2 linked regions of the Schizosaccharomyces pombe genome follow. Changing the gene in region 1 together with any one later gene gives a genetic interaction. Each region holds a gene or a part of one and is shown in the gene's direction. Other genes may lie near its edges.

The links.
Region 2: of bbc1 (region 1) and myo1, changing one suppresses a phenotype caused by changing the other (phenotypic suppression), as found in Schizosaccharomyces pombe (one study listed by BioGRID).

The regions. Positions count from the first base shown.
Region 1 is NC_003424.3:4,104,913-4,112,567, forward strand, and holds bbc1 (SH3 domain-containing protein), read left to right. Parts: upstream 1-1,735; 5' UTR 1,736-1,914; coding exon 1,915-6,750; 3' UTR 6,751-7,132; downstream 7,133-7,655. Other genes in the region: RNA polymerase II CTD phosphatase Rtr1, read right to left, coding at 204-797.
Region 2 is NC_003423.3:1,023,463-1,029,740, reverse strand, and holds myo1 (myosin I myo1), read left to right. Parts: upstream 1-1,767; 5' UTR 1,768-1,810; coding exon 1,811-1,813; intron 1,814-1,857; coding exon 1,858-5,508; 3' UTR 5,509-5,778; downstream 5,779-6,278. Other genes in the region: coatomer beta subunit Sec26, read left to right, coding at 1-625; monooxygenase Coq6, read right to left, coding at 5,886-6,278. UniProt on the Schizosaccharomyces pombe protein: Type-I myosin implicated in the organization of the actin cytoskeleton. Required for proper actin cytoskeleton polarization.

The DNA.
Region 1 (7,655 bases):
TGTAAATGGTAAAGGGAATATTGTATCGATCTTTAATAAAAAGTCGAAAACCACAGAAATGTTACTATGCACGCAACTGTAGAATGAAGCAACCTTTCATTCTAGTTCAAACGACGCTAGACACAAGTCGGTGTCTTTTTTGTTCAAAAATATTATACATATTCTGGGGTGAAAAGAAAAAATTTGATAAACTTCCATTTGCTTTATGATTGTTCATTAGCCAAAGGATGTTCAACGATTTCACCAACTTTTGCCTTATAACCCACAGGCAACGCTTGCAGGAGTAAGCGTACATCTTCAATTTTTTTGTTTTCCAACTCTTTACGAAATGCTTCATCTTGACGAGGATCGAGATGTTGTTTCATAGCTTCGCGAGCATCTTCACGTATCCATAATGGTTCGTCGCTCAACTCAACCATATATTGACAACTTTTTAGAAAGCAATCCTTCGAGCAATAATAGTTGAGTCCACCGTAGACCTTCATTCCTGAATCTTCTAATTTATACCTAGTTTGCTGCTTAGGTTCATAAGGACAAACGGGATAACCGCACAGATTGACGAGTTTACGCTCCTTCACCACTTGATCGTAATCACTTTTTCGAAGGTATTTACGAGCTTCCTCTAAAGTTTCTAGGGAAACCGGATCAACCAGCTTTTCAATCCATTCGAGGGCAAAAAAATCATACTGAAGTCGACTGCGTGCTTCATCTATAAGACTCTTCGACCACGTGATCAATTGCTTTTCTTGAGTGCTTTGAGCATTTTTCGGCTTTTTGAGAATTGATTTTTTGTTCATATCTGAATTGGATATATTGGAGTCAGCTGGAAAACAGAAGGTCTTAAAAATCGCTATTAGGCAGATATGAGTCAGTCAAGCATTGGAAGGAGGAATGAGCATCGTAAAAATACTTTAGCGCCGTGCAATTTTTGTTAAAGAGTTCTTGAGTTACGCAATTCATTTACAGCGAACTAAGACAGTGCGTTGGCCTTGGTACTAAAAATTTTGATAGAAATTACCCTCTCAGTTGAGTGTGGACAAAGGAAAAAAAATAAAGAAAAGCATGCGTTGCACCAATCATGTAAAGAAAGTTTTGTAGGTCTCTTTAAGAAAATCATTTTACCGTTAAAAATAATAATGATAAATTTACATCCACCCTATTCATATCTTCCACTAGTAAATAACTGGTCCTTAATCTTAATGATTCATATCCATATCCATACCATACCCCACACCCACACAGTAATCGTAAATATAGCAAACCAACGATGCTGTGGCTTCGTTTTAGGATTGCTAGTGTATCCTTATGTAAAATAGGAAACCAGATCCAATTGCGTAAATATTATTATAACGTTAAATAACAAAAACCAATCAACATTGATAAGCAAAATAATACCCAATAATCTTACAGTGCATTACGCTACCTTTGGCTAGTCGAACGAATCACTGTCAACAAGATGTTACGATTGGAAGGGAATTCCCCAGATCCTTTCCCCACAATGTTCATTCATTGAAAATCGTCTCACATGTAGTCAGTCGCTTCTTCACGTGCGATATTATCATTTGGGTGTTTATTGCTGTTAAGATTGACCAAACTTCTTTGTCTGCACAAATCGCGTGCCCTTTAGGAACCAAAATGACAGTGTACTGGCTTAGATATCCTAATAGAAGAGATTAACGATGACGTTCAGCTTCGCTATCATTTGTATATATTTTTAGTGGTAAAATAAATCGGCGGAGCCTTCATCTTTGGTATCTTGTTTTCTCTTTTTTTGGCTTTTTGTATATCTGTGTTTTAGGAAAAAAGAATCAGTGTATTGTATATTGAATGGTACCATTCTTTTTATACTGGTTCATTGTTTATCTGATCTCTCTTTGTACTTAAAAAAAGTATTAGCGGATCGCAGGCTCCACGATGAGCTCGTTTCCCACAAGAGTGGTTGCACTCTATCCTTATAGAAGCAGCTTCTCCGATGACTTGGAATTTGATCCAGGCCAAGTTATCGACGTCGTCAGTAATCTGGACGGCGACTGGTATACCGGAACATATGTGGACTCGGACGGTAACAGGAAAATTGGCTCCTTTCCAAAGGACTTTACCGAGCCAGCAGAGGATGCTGTGTTTGTAGAACGTGCTAGCGAAATGGCTCTTCATCAACCTACGCCAACTAGTGCTGTTCATTCTCGCAACTCTTCCTTAGGTTATGCTCCTTCTATTACACGTAGCATCAAGTCGATTTCCAACAATACAGAGCATCTTGGTGCCGATACAGAATCATATCTTTCAGCTAATGACTTTATTGACAGTACAAGTGAAGCACTTACGAAGATAGTTGATGTGGATACATTGAGTGCGCCATTCGGTAACGACAGCAACTCGCGTCCACATTCTTTAAAAAATGTGGAAAAATTGCATACATTCTCAGCTCCATATACCATATCTGAAGAGACGCCATCTTGCTCCACTGAGAACGACTCGCTACCACTTACCGCTACTCACACTATTACTGGTGGTGAGGATGCTGCTACCGGTGCTGCTGTAACCAACACCACCACTACCCACATTACTACTTCCACCAACACGTCTACCGTCATCCCCTCTAACCCAAATTCAGTTTTTCTTGTCGATTGTACTCATTCACAGTGCCCAACTGATTTACCAAACATCGCAACTACCCAACACTCTTTAAGGTATCTTGATAACGCATCTGCATCCGCAATAACCGTTTTGGAACGCACTCATCCCGCAGCTTCTTCCACCATGGCTACTGAGTCCTCCCATCAATCTCCGTCTGCGGACTCACAGGCAGAAGAATTATCAAAGAGCCAGCGAGTTGCAAAGGATGACGATCCTTTTGTTGTTTCCAATACTGCGAATTCCGATGAGCCAGCTTCAAGCTCAAAGCCCGCTAAACCCCTTACTGATTTGAATCGAGCCTTTTCTCAGCGCCTTAACTTGGATCCTCAAAAGCCCGGTAAATCACAGGGCGAAATCAGTGAGCAGGAGGAAGATGAATATGACGATGCTGAGTCAGATGAGATGCACAGTCCCTATAGCACTCACGAACCCGAATCTGAACCTGAAGACCAGGATGAACCATCGGAAAAGGATGATGAGAATAAAGATGTAGAGGAAGAACAAGAACAAGAGCAGGAGGAAGAACAAATTGATCCCGAAGAAGCTAAACGAATTGCCCTACGCGAACGAATGGCAAAAATGAGTGGAGGTATTGGTATGCATGTTTTTGGATTGCCTGGTCTAGCTGCACCTATTGGACGGAAAAACACTTTGAGGAGAACTCCTGCCAAATCCTCCGAGGAAGCAAAGAGCACCACTAATGACTCTTCTCCACCAAAAGACTCTTCTTCCACTTCTACTCAACCTACTGAACAATCGAATGCTCAGCAGGCTCCGTCACCGAAGGAGGAGGAGCGTCCACTTCCTTCCGAACCTTCTCAAAACCAACCAGCAGAATACCGTGATACTCCTGATACCCCCCGGAATATAATGCCTTTACCAGGCCTTATGTCTGCCGACCAACCAATAAAGGTCACTGAGCCTTCCAACGATGCAGATAAAGCTATTGTTGCTGAGGGTCCCAATAATGAGGAAGAGACTAAGGGACCAGTAATCCCAGAAACTCAGGAAACTTCCGAACAGCAAGTTCATAAAACTCCTTCTCCGGAGAAGCAAAAAGTGCTTTCTCCTCCTCCAATTATTACTAACTTTGATAAGGAAACACTTGCCTCTAATGAAGCACACGAAGCGGTACCCCAAAAGCCTTCTGCTCCACAAGTCACTCGTCTCATGGCTCCACAAGATAGCTCTTCAGTGGTAACTCCTTCCCCAACTTCTTTGCTGGATCCTGCTCGTGCTGTTCGTAAAGTAATTGATGGAATTGATCCCCCGAAAGAAGCTGGTGCCGGTGCTACAGCTGATGTAGAATCGGCTGCTAACTCACCAATTACGCCTCCTCGCACCTGGCATTCGCCCGATTTTACCTCCAAGTCGTTTGAACCCATAGAGCGCAAACTTCCCAGTCGCATTTCTGAGGTCACTGAGGACAGTATTGACGAGGATAAGCAGAATGAAGTTGACCCTTCCACCAGTGCGCGTGCTCTTCCTCCGCCTGGCTTACGGTTTGGTAAAGTCGACACTTTAGCCAGTCTTGCACATGATGATTTAGATGATTTACCAGCAGTTCCACGTATATTTAGCCCACCTCCTTTGCCAAAGACGCCCTCTGGCGAATTTGGAGATAATGAATTTATGTTCCCAAAAAAGTCAAATCGTGTTCGTGGTCACCAGTCCAGACCTTCAACTGGTTCCCAACTTCGAAATGTTGTTCCTGTTTCTATTGTAACTTCTGGTGGTCGCCCCGCTTTACCCGACGAAATGGCCTCGCCTAGCTCTTCTATCGGTCATCCTTTACCATCTCCTCCTCCAGCGGATTTTAATAGTTTAAATGTGGATTTTTACGAACCTCATAGCTATCTTGAATCTCCTGCTCCCGAACCTCAACCTTCTTATGAGGAAGAAAGTTTTAATGCTACGGTAATACATGCTCCAACTCCTAGTACTGCTACTTTTCAAGGTCATCCTACCATATCAAATGTTGCTACTCCACCTTTGAAGCAAGATGTTACCGAAAGCAAAGCTTCTCCTGTTGCTGATGCCTCAGCAACACATCAATCTAGTACAGGGTTAACTCAAGAAATTACTCAATTAGGCTCAAATATGAGATTACCCACCAAGTTGACACGTCCATCAAACGATGGACGCAAAGCTTCTGGACCAAGGCCTGCTGCTCCTCCCTCTATTCCTCCACCTTTACCAGTAAGCAATATACTATCTTCGCCGACTTCTGAACCTCCAAAGGATCATCCACCCTCGGCGCCTTTGTCGAAACCAGTATCAACTTCACCTGCTGCTCCGCTAGCCAGGGTACCTCCAGTTCCTAAACTTTCGTCTAAAGCACCTCCGGTGCCATTGCCTTCAGCTGATGCTCCACCAATCCCAGTACCTTCTACTGCCCCTCCTGTACCCATACCCACTAGTACTCCACCAGTACCGAAATCTTCTTCTGGAGCTCCATCAGCACCACCACCAGTACCAGCACCTTCATCTGAAATTCCATCAATTCCAGCTCCGTCTGGAGCTCCACCGGTGCCAGCACCTTCTGGAATTCCACCAGTGCCAAAGCCTTCGGTCGCAGCCCCACCGGTACCAAAGCCTTCAGTTGCAGTTCCACCGGTGCCAGCGCCTTCAGGAGCTCCACCAGTTCCAAAGCCTTCAGTTGCAGCTCCACCAGTGCCAGTACCTTCGGGAGCTCCACCAGTTCCAAAGCCTTCAGTTGCAGCTCCACCAGTGCCAGCGCCTTCAGGAGCTCCACCAGTTCCAAAGCCTTCAGTTGCAGCTCCACCAGTGCCAGCACCTTCTTCTGGAATTCCACCAGTACCAAAGCCTGCTGCGGGTGTCCCACCGGTGCCTCCACCAAGTGAAGCTCCACCGGTACCAAAGCCTTCTGTGGGTGTTCCTCCAGTCCCCCCACCATCTACAGCTCCACCGGTGCCGACACCTTCCGCTGGGCTTCCACCAGTACCAGTTCCTACTGCAAAGGCTCCTCCAGTACCTGCACCTTCTTCTGAAGCCCCTTCAGTTTCGACACCAAGATCTTCGGTTCCGTCGCCACACTCGAATGCCTCACCTTCTCCAACTTCTTCTTCTATGGCTTCTGCTGCTCCAGCACGTACTTCAGTTTCAAGGTCGAAATCTAAAGCTGAAAGGCATGAAACATCGACAAGCAGTCGTAAGTCTTCAAAGTCTGGAGAACACCATCATCATCACAATGAAGGACATGCTGATTCATCTTCTACTCGTACGTCATTAGCGCATCAAGACAGTCGTAAATCTCTTCATCGACATCTTTCGCGCTCTTCGAGTAGAGCTAGTAAGAAACCTTCTATTGTCTCTACTACTGGACCTTTTAACGAAAGCTTTTCTGCAAAGCCGGTTGAGCCTTGCGCTTCTGAGAAATGGTGGCTGAATTCTACTGCTGTTCCTAAATCCGTAGTGCAGATGAATGACTCTGTTCTATATATGATAAAAGAAGGAATTACAGGGCAAGATAAAAAATACAAGTCTGTACACATACTGTTCCCTGACTACAGCCAAACAGTCTTGACAGCTACATTCAACCCACATAACCAAAATATTACACAATTATCTCAACTTCAACTAGCTCCACCAGCACAGCCTTCAAAAGCTAGATTAGATGAGGAATATGCTTGTTATGGCTCTACAATTTTGAAAAAAGCCCGAGCTTACCAAGGTAGCATGGTTGGTGATGGTTCTGCATTCACTTTTGTTAATTCCGTTATGTCGATACTGGCGCATAATCTCGAACCTATAAACAAACAGACTTTTGGAGGTGTGATTTACAAGAATGTTGGAAATGTTACTGTGCAACAAATTGGTGAGATTCGCCCAGGTGATATAGTTACATTTGATAAGGCTAAATTTAGTGGACAAAAAGGTACTCTTCGTTCAAAATACTCTCTTGAAGTTGGTAAGCCCATGCATTATGGTATCATATCAGAGTGGGATGTTTCGAAACTGAAGATTAGGGTGTTGGAACAAGGCAGAGAGTCCAAGAAGGTTTCAGTTGCAAGCTACAAATTCGGTGATTTAAAGAGTGGAGAAGTTACTGTGTGGCGTGTAATGCGTCGATCTTGGCTTGGTTGGAATTAATGGTAATTATTTTACTATGGTTTTAAGTTCTTATCATTTTATCACAAATAACTCAAACTTCCTAAAGAGCAGCACTCATTTTTTTAAATTGTTCAATTGCGAAGCAGATTTGAATAGTCCTTAATGATCGTCTGTCAGTATATTCTTTCACTGATATATCTTTGACGATTGGGATTATTTATATCATTTTTTGACGACACGCCCTATGTTTTTAGAAGACTTATATCTCGTGGAAGTTGTTTGCTGAATTATATTCACATATATACCAAAGATTGGGCTATGTGATTCAACTTTTGAAATATATATACACATCTACAGTCATTTTTATAGTATATGCTAATAATCAGTTATATCTAATTAAACAGTTGAAATGCACAATTAACAATGTATGGTAAAAGGATAAGATTTTGTAAGTTATTGAACTGTACTTAAAGACAATTTCGGAAAAAAAAAATCCTTTACAAAATTCTAACTCTTTTTTCAAACGCTTGCGCTTATATAATCAACAAAAAACATTTATTTCGAGGTGAAACCGAAAATAACGGTTAACTGAAATATATACCTAGTCAAGATTAACGAGAGTGACTTTCACTAACACCCAGAGAACAAGGATGTAACATTGCAAACCAAACAAACTTCTTAGAAAACACATTCAGTTCAAGTGTTATGACTGTTCACCAAAATGAACAACCGTCAAGTGCAAAACGCAGTTTAGGGTAAACTAGTAAATAGGGAAACAAATGGAAAGTGTAAGAGTCATTTGAAGCAATAGACCCATTATTGGTACAAGAATTTGATGCCACACAAAGAGAAGTAAGAATAAATAGATTGAAAGATTTTTTAAAGGAGAATCGTATGTCGTTAAGATTATTGCTAGTGGTAGATTGTACTGTGGGATAACAACA
Region 2 (6,278 bases), on another chromosome or scaffold:
GATACAACAATTTGATATTATTCTAGACATATTATTGGTTAATCGAACGGATACCACGTTACAGAATCTCTCTGTTGATTTGGCTACGTTGGGAGATCTTAAGGTTGTAGAGCGTCCACCACCCATGAATTTAGGACCTCATGCCTTTAAATCTGTTCAGGCTACGGTAAAGGTATCTTCAACGGAGTCTGCAGTAATCTTTGGAAATATCGTGTATGGTGGTAAAGCATCCGACGAAGACAAAATTGTTGTTTTGAATGGCATTCCAGTCAACATTATTGATTATATAAAACCCGCATTCATTCCCGAATCTCAATTCCGTAGCATGTGGACGGAATTTGAATGGGAAAACAAGGTCGATATTTCTTCCAACGAAGACATTAGTCTGTACGATTTCTTACATAAAATAATGAAGAAAACCAATATGAACTGTCTTACTCCAGACGCGTCTCTGCGTGGTGACTGTGGTTTTTTGAGTGCTAATTTGTACGCCTGCAGTATTTTTGGGGAAGACGCACTTATGAGTCTTAGCGTTGAAAAATCCGTCTCCGGTCCTATCTCAGGACATGTTCGCATTCGTTCAAAAACTCAAGGCATTGCCCTTAGCTTGGGTGCATTTGTTTAGAGTAGAATTATATAAGGAATGTTATCCACTCTTTAAATTTCTTGATGGATTAAATTCACAATGGGAAAGCTGTTATGGATGCTGATTTAGTAGGTATATCATGTGTCTAATATTTCGCTAAATCGATATCTGATACGCTGTTTTATTACTCTTGTTGTAAATACCTTTCCTGCCGTTCTTTATTTAGCTCCTTATGATATTTCTACGATTTCGCAATTAAAAGGAGCCTGCCTTGTCATGTTCTCACTACTTGATATCCTGACATTACTAAAGTTGTGTACCTTGTATTTCTCTGTAACAGGCAAGTAGATTAGCTTTCATCTCGTGCATTTAGTTTGGTATTATATATAAACCCCGTTATTTCAATTAATTATGGCACTCACAAACGTTGTCTATAAATCACTGTTTGTATTCTTTTATAAATGATATAAACAGATGATTATGTTTAAGTTACTGCAAATCATATAGCTTCTCTCATATTGTGTTACATCCTAATATCTGTAATAAGTTAATTGTCATAGAATATACTCAAGGTCAATACGAGAACTACAGTTGTATTTGCTGGGGAATTCAACCTTTTATGTCGCGTTATAATAATCTGCGGCTGCTTTGGTTCTTGAAACGGCGATAGCCGTTATATCTAAAATACTTCAAAACTTCTCGCTTTATGAAAGGTATCTTCGACTTAAAATATTCATAATTGAAAATTCATGTTCATTTAATTCATCTTATCGACTACATGAACACACAATAATCAAATCAAGTATTAACTAATTCAAGCGCGTTATGTTTATCACTTCATCATAATTAGTCGCAAATTTCATACCTTTAGTGTGTTCGTTACCTTACCTAATGAAGTTACCCTAAAACACATTTGGATAAGTTTCGTTCGAGTATGTTACATAACAAGCCTCTTTCGGCTAGGTAATTGTTTTAATGTCAATACCAAAAATGGATGAAGCAAACGACAGAAAGCTAAAGTATATTCAATTTTCAGCTAAAGTACAATTTTAATAATTGGGGTCTGAAGTTTCGAACGGTCTTTGGCAATATTGACCTAGAAACTCATATTTCGCTCATTTTAACGATCCGTAACGCAATTATCTCAGTATTAGAAGAAACCTACACGTAAGTGCGGACTTGTCGTTAACCTATCTCTTGTTCGGCCATAAGTGAATAGATTTTATGGTAAGTAAATATGCATGCCGAATGTTAGCTAATTAATAAATTAGGCCATCCTTAAGAGAACAAACCGCGCGAAAGCTGCGACTGCAGCTGCTCCCAATAGCACTGGGAAAAGCAATGGTATTAAAAAGGCTGTTTATACCAGCACACGCAAAAAGACTGTGGGTGTTGATGATTTAACCCTACTTTCGAAAATTACAGATGAGGAAATTAACAAAAACTTGGAACTGAGATTTCGCAATGGAGAGATTTATACATATATTGGACATGTGTTGATTTCTGTAAATCCATTTCGAGACCTGGGTATTTATACGATGGATATTTTGAAATCATATCAAGGAAAAAACCGTTTGGAAACGAGCCCTCACGTTTATGCAATTGCTGAGAACGCTTACTATCAAATGAAGTCTTATCATGAGAATCAATGTATTATCATTTCTGGTGAATCGGGTGCTGGTAAGACTGAGGCTGCAAAAAGGATCATGCAATATATTACACATGTTTCAAAGTCCGTTGGCACTGAAATTGAAAGAGTTTCCGAAATTATTTTAGCTACCAATCCTTTATTGGAAAGTTTTGGTTGTGCAAAAACTCTTCGCAATAATAATTCTTCTCGTCATGGAAAGTATTTAGAAATGATTTTTAATTCCGGAGGTGTTCCTGTCGGCGCTAAAATTACGAACTACTTATTAGAAAAGAACCGAATTGTTAATCAAGTTCGCAATGAGCGTAATTTCCATATTTTCTATCAATTCACCAAGAGCGCTCCTCAGAAATATCGTGATACATATGGCATTCAAGGTCCGGAGAATTATGTTTACACTTCTGCTTGTCAATGTTTGTCGGTTGATGGGATTTCAGATGAGAAGGACTTCCAAGGAACGATGAACGCCATGAAGGTTATTGGTATCACCGAGCCGGAGCAAGATGAAATATTTAGGATGCTTTCTATCATCCTTTGGTTAGGAAATATTCAATTTCAAGAAGGCCAAGATGGTGGTAGCGTGATTTCTGACAAGAGCATCACCGAATTTTTAGGCTATTTGATCGGTGTTCCTGTTGCGGCTATTGAGCGTGCCTTGACAATTCGTATTATGCAAACTCAGCATGGTGCAAGGCGCGGATCTGTATATGAAGTCCCCTTAAATCCAACACAAGCTTTGGCTGTTCGTGATGCTTTGTCTATGGCGATTTATAACTGTCTTTTTGATTGGATTGTCGAACGTGTCAACAAAGCTTTGGTCACATCAGACAACAGCGTTTCCAATTCGATTGGTATTTTAGATATTTACGGCTTTGAAATCTTTGAAAACAACTCTTTTGAACAATTGTGCATTAACTATGTTAATGAAAAATTGCAACAAATTTTTATAGAACTTACTTTGAAAACTGAACAGGAAGAATACGTGCGTGAGCAAATTGCTTGGACTCCTATCAAATATTTCAACAATAAAGTTGTATGTGATTTGATTGAATCCAAACGACCTCCTGGTCTTTTCGCAGCAATGAACGACGCTATCGCTACCGCTCATGCTGACTCTGCTGCGGCGGATAGTGCTTTTGCTCAGCGGTTAAACTTTTTATCCTCCAATCCACATTTTGAACAGAGACAAAATCAATTTATAGTCAAACATTACGCTGGTGATGTAACCTACAGCATTACAGGAATGACCGATAAGAATAAGGATCAGTTAGCAACTGATATTCTTAACCTTATTCATTCTTCCAACAACGAGTTCATGAAATCTATTTTCCCAGTGGCTGAAGAGAGTAACTCCCGTCGTCGTCCTCCTACAGCTGGTGATCGTATCAAAACTTCTGCTAATGATTTAGTAGAGACTCTTATGAAATGTCAACCATCGTATATACGTACGATTAAACCCAATCAGACTAAGTCGCCTAACGATTACGATCAGCAGATGGTTTTACATCAAATCAAATATTTAGGTTTGCAAGAAAACATTCGTATTCGTCGTGCTGGTTTTGCTTATCGTCAAGCTTTCGATACGTTTGCTCAGCGTTTTGCAGTTCTTAGTGGTAAAACCAGTTATGCAGGAGAATACACTTGGCAGGGTGATGATAAGTCTGCTTGCGAACAGATTTTGAAAGATACCAATATTCCTTCATCTGAATACCAAATGGGTACTAGCAAAGTTTTCATTAAAAATCCGGAGACCTTATTCGCGCTCGAAGACATGCGTGATAAGTTTTGGGATACAATGGCAACCCGTATACAACGTGCTTGGCGTTCTTATGTTAGAAGAAGATCTGAAGCTGCTGCTTGTATTCAGAAGTTGTGGAATAGGAACAAAGTTAACATGGAACTTGAACGTGTTCGTAATGAGGGTACTAAACTTTTGCAAGGTAAAAAGCAACGCAGAAGATATAGTATTTTGGGATCCCGTAAGTTTTATGGAGATTATCTATCAGCTTCAAAGCCTAATGGTACTCTATGGAACACATGCGGCCTCTCTCAAAACGATCACGTAATTTTCTCAATGAGATGTGAGGTCCTTGTTCATAAGCTAGGCCGCACTTCCAAACCTTCTCCTCGTCAACTGGTTCTTACCAAAAAGAATTTATATTTGGTGATTACAAAAATTGTTGACCAAAAGCTCACACAACAGGTGGAGAAGAAGTTCGCTGTATCTTCCATCGATTCTGTTGGTCTTACAAATTTGCAAGATGATTGGGTTGCAATTCGTAATAAGTCCAGCCAAAATGGAGATATGTTTTTGCGATGCTTTTTCAAAACAGAATTTATAACTACCTTAAAGAGAATCAATCGTAATATTCAAGTTATCGTGGGTCCCACCATTCAATACTGCCGAAAGCCTGGCAAGGTACAAACTGTTAAGACGGCAAAAGACGAAACCACTAAGGATTATGACTACTACAAGAGTGGAACTATTCATGTTGGTACTGGCTTGCCTCCTACCAGTAAGAGTAAGCCTTTCCCTCGCTTAGCAACTGGTGGTAGTACAGCAGCTGCTAGAGGGCCTCGCCCAGTTGTGCAGAACAAACCTGCTGCTACAAAGCCCGTATCTATGCCGGCTGCGAAGAGCAAACCTGCTCCTATGGCTAATCCCGTAAGTACTGCTCAACAAACCCAAAATCGTCCCCCTGCTCCTGCTATGCAAGCTCGTCCTAATACAACTCAAGCTGCAGCCCCAGTTACAAGTACGACTACAACTATTAAGCAAGCAACCACTGTTTCTGCTTCTAAACCAGCTCCTTCCACGGTAACTTCTGCAGCTTCTTCTCCAAGCAATATCTCTAAACCCTCTGCTCCAGTTGCTAATAACGTCAGCAAGCCTAGTGCTGTTCCTCCTCCTCCTCCTCCTCCTCCCGCTGAAGTCGAAAAGAAAGACTTGTACTTGGCCTTATATGACTTTGCGGGACGCAGTCCAAATGAAATGACTATCAAGAAAGACGAAATTATAGAAATTGTTCAAAAGGAGCCAAGCGGGTGGTGGCTTGCTTTAAAGAATGGTGCTGAAGGATGGGTTCCCGCAACCTATGTGACAGAATACAAAGGTTCTACACCTCAAACCACCGCTTCTTCGACTAATGTTGCAGCTCAAGCGAATAATAATGCTAGTCCAGCTGAAGTCAACAACTTAGCTGGTTCACTTGCTGATGCCTTGCGCATGCGAGCATCAGCTGTGCGTGGTAGTGATGAAGAAGAAGATTGGTGAGCTTTCATTATGATGTATATATAATACGGCCAGTACATTGCTTGATTCTTAATTTGCAATAATGAATGGCTTGTGACAACTATAGTCTCTCCTATCGCATGTTTTTTAGCTATCAATGAAAGCTTCTAGTATTTGCTTCTTGCATGTTTTATTGTGATAGATTGAGAATACTCTTCGTCGACGACTTTGATTAAGCAAAGCTAAATAGTAATTTAATTGTGAAATATAGTTGATACATTGCATAGCGTATACTTATAAATGGGACAAAAGTGATAGCTTCTGTAATAATATTAAAATCATTATCTTGTTTATTGTTTGAATAAATTAGTCAGCTCCAGTGGTAAAACGTAAATATAGTATAGTAGACTTCGACAATACTAAATTCCATTAGCTACCGTAGAAAGAATGAAGTTTTTCAAGCTAGCACTGCGATCAAATAATGAAAGTCCAAGGGTTCGTACAGAAGTGACCACCGGATTTTCCATTGCGTACAGCTTGTGGAACTTATCAACGACTCCTAGATAAACATGGTTTTTGAAGTAACGGTCACGGAAATACGGTTGGAGTGAAAAAACACTACCAATATCCTGACCGTGCTTGATAGCAAAAGAGAGTGCTGATATTAAAGATTCAACATCCTGAATTCCAGTATTTAATCCCTGTCCAGCTAATGGATGAGTGTTATGAGCAGCGTCCCCGCAAAGGGCAATTCCTTCTTTTACATATTCATCAACATGGGCAAGTCTCAACGGAAATGCCGCCCTAGAACC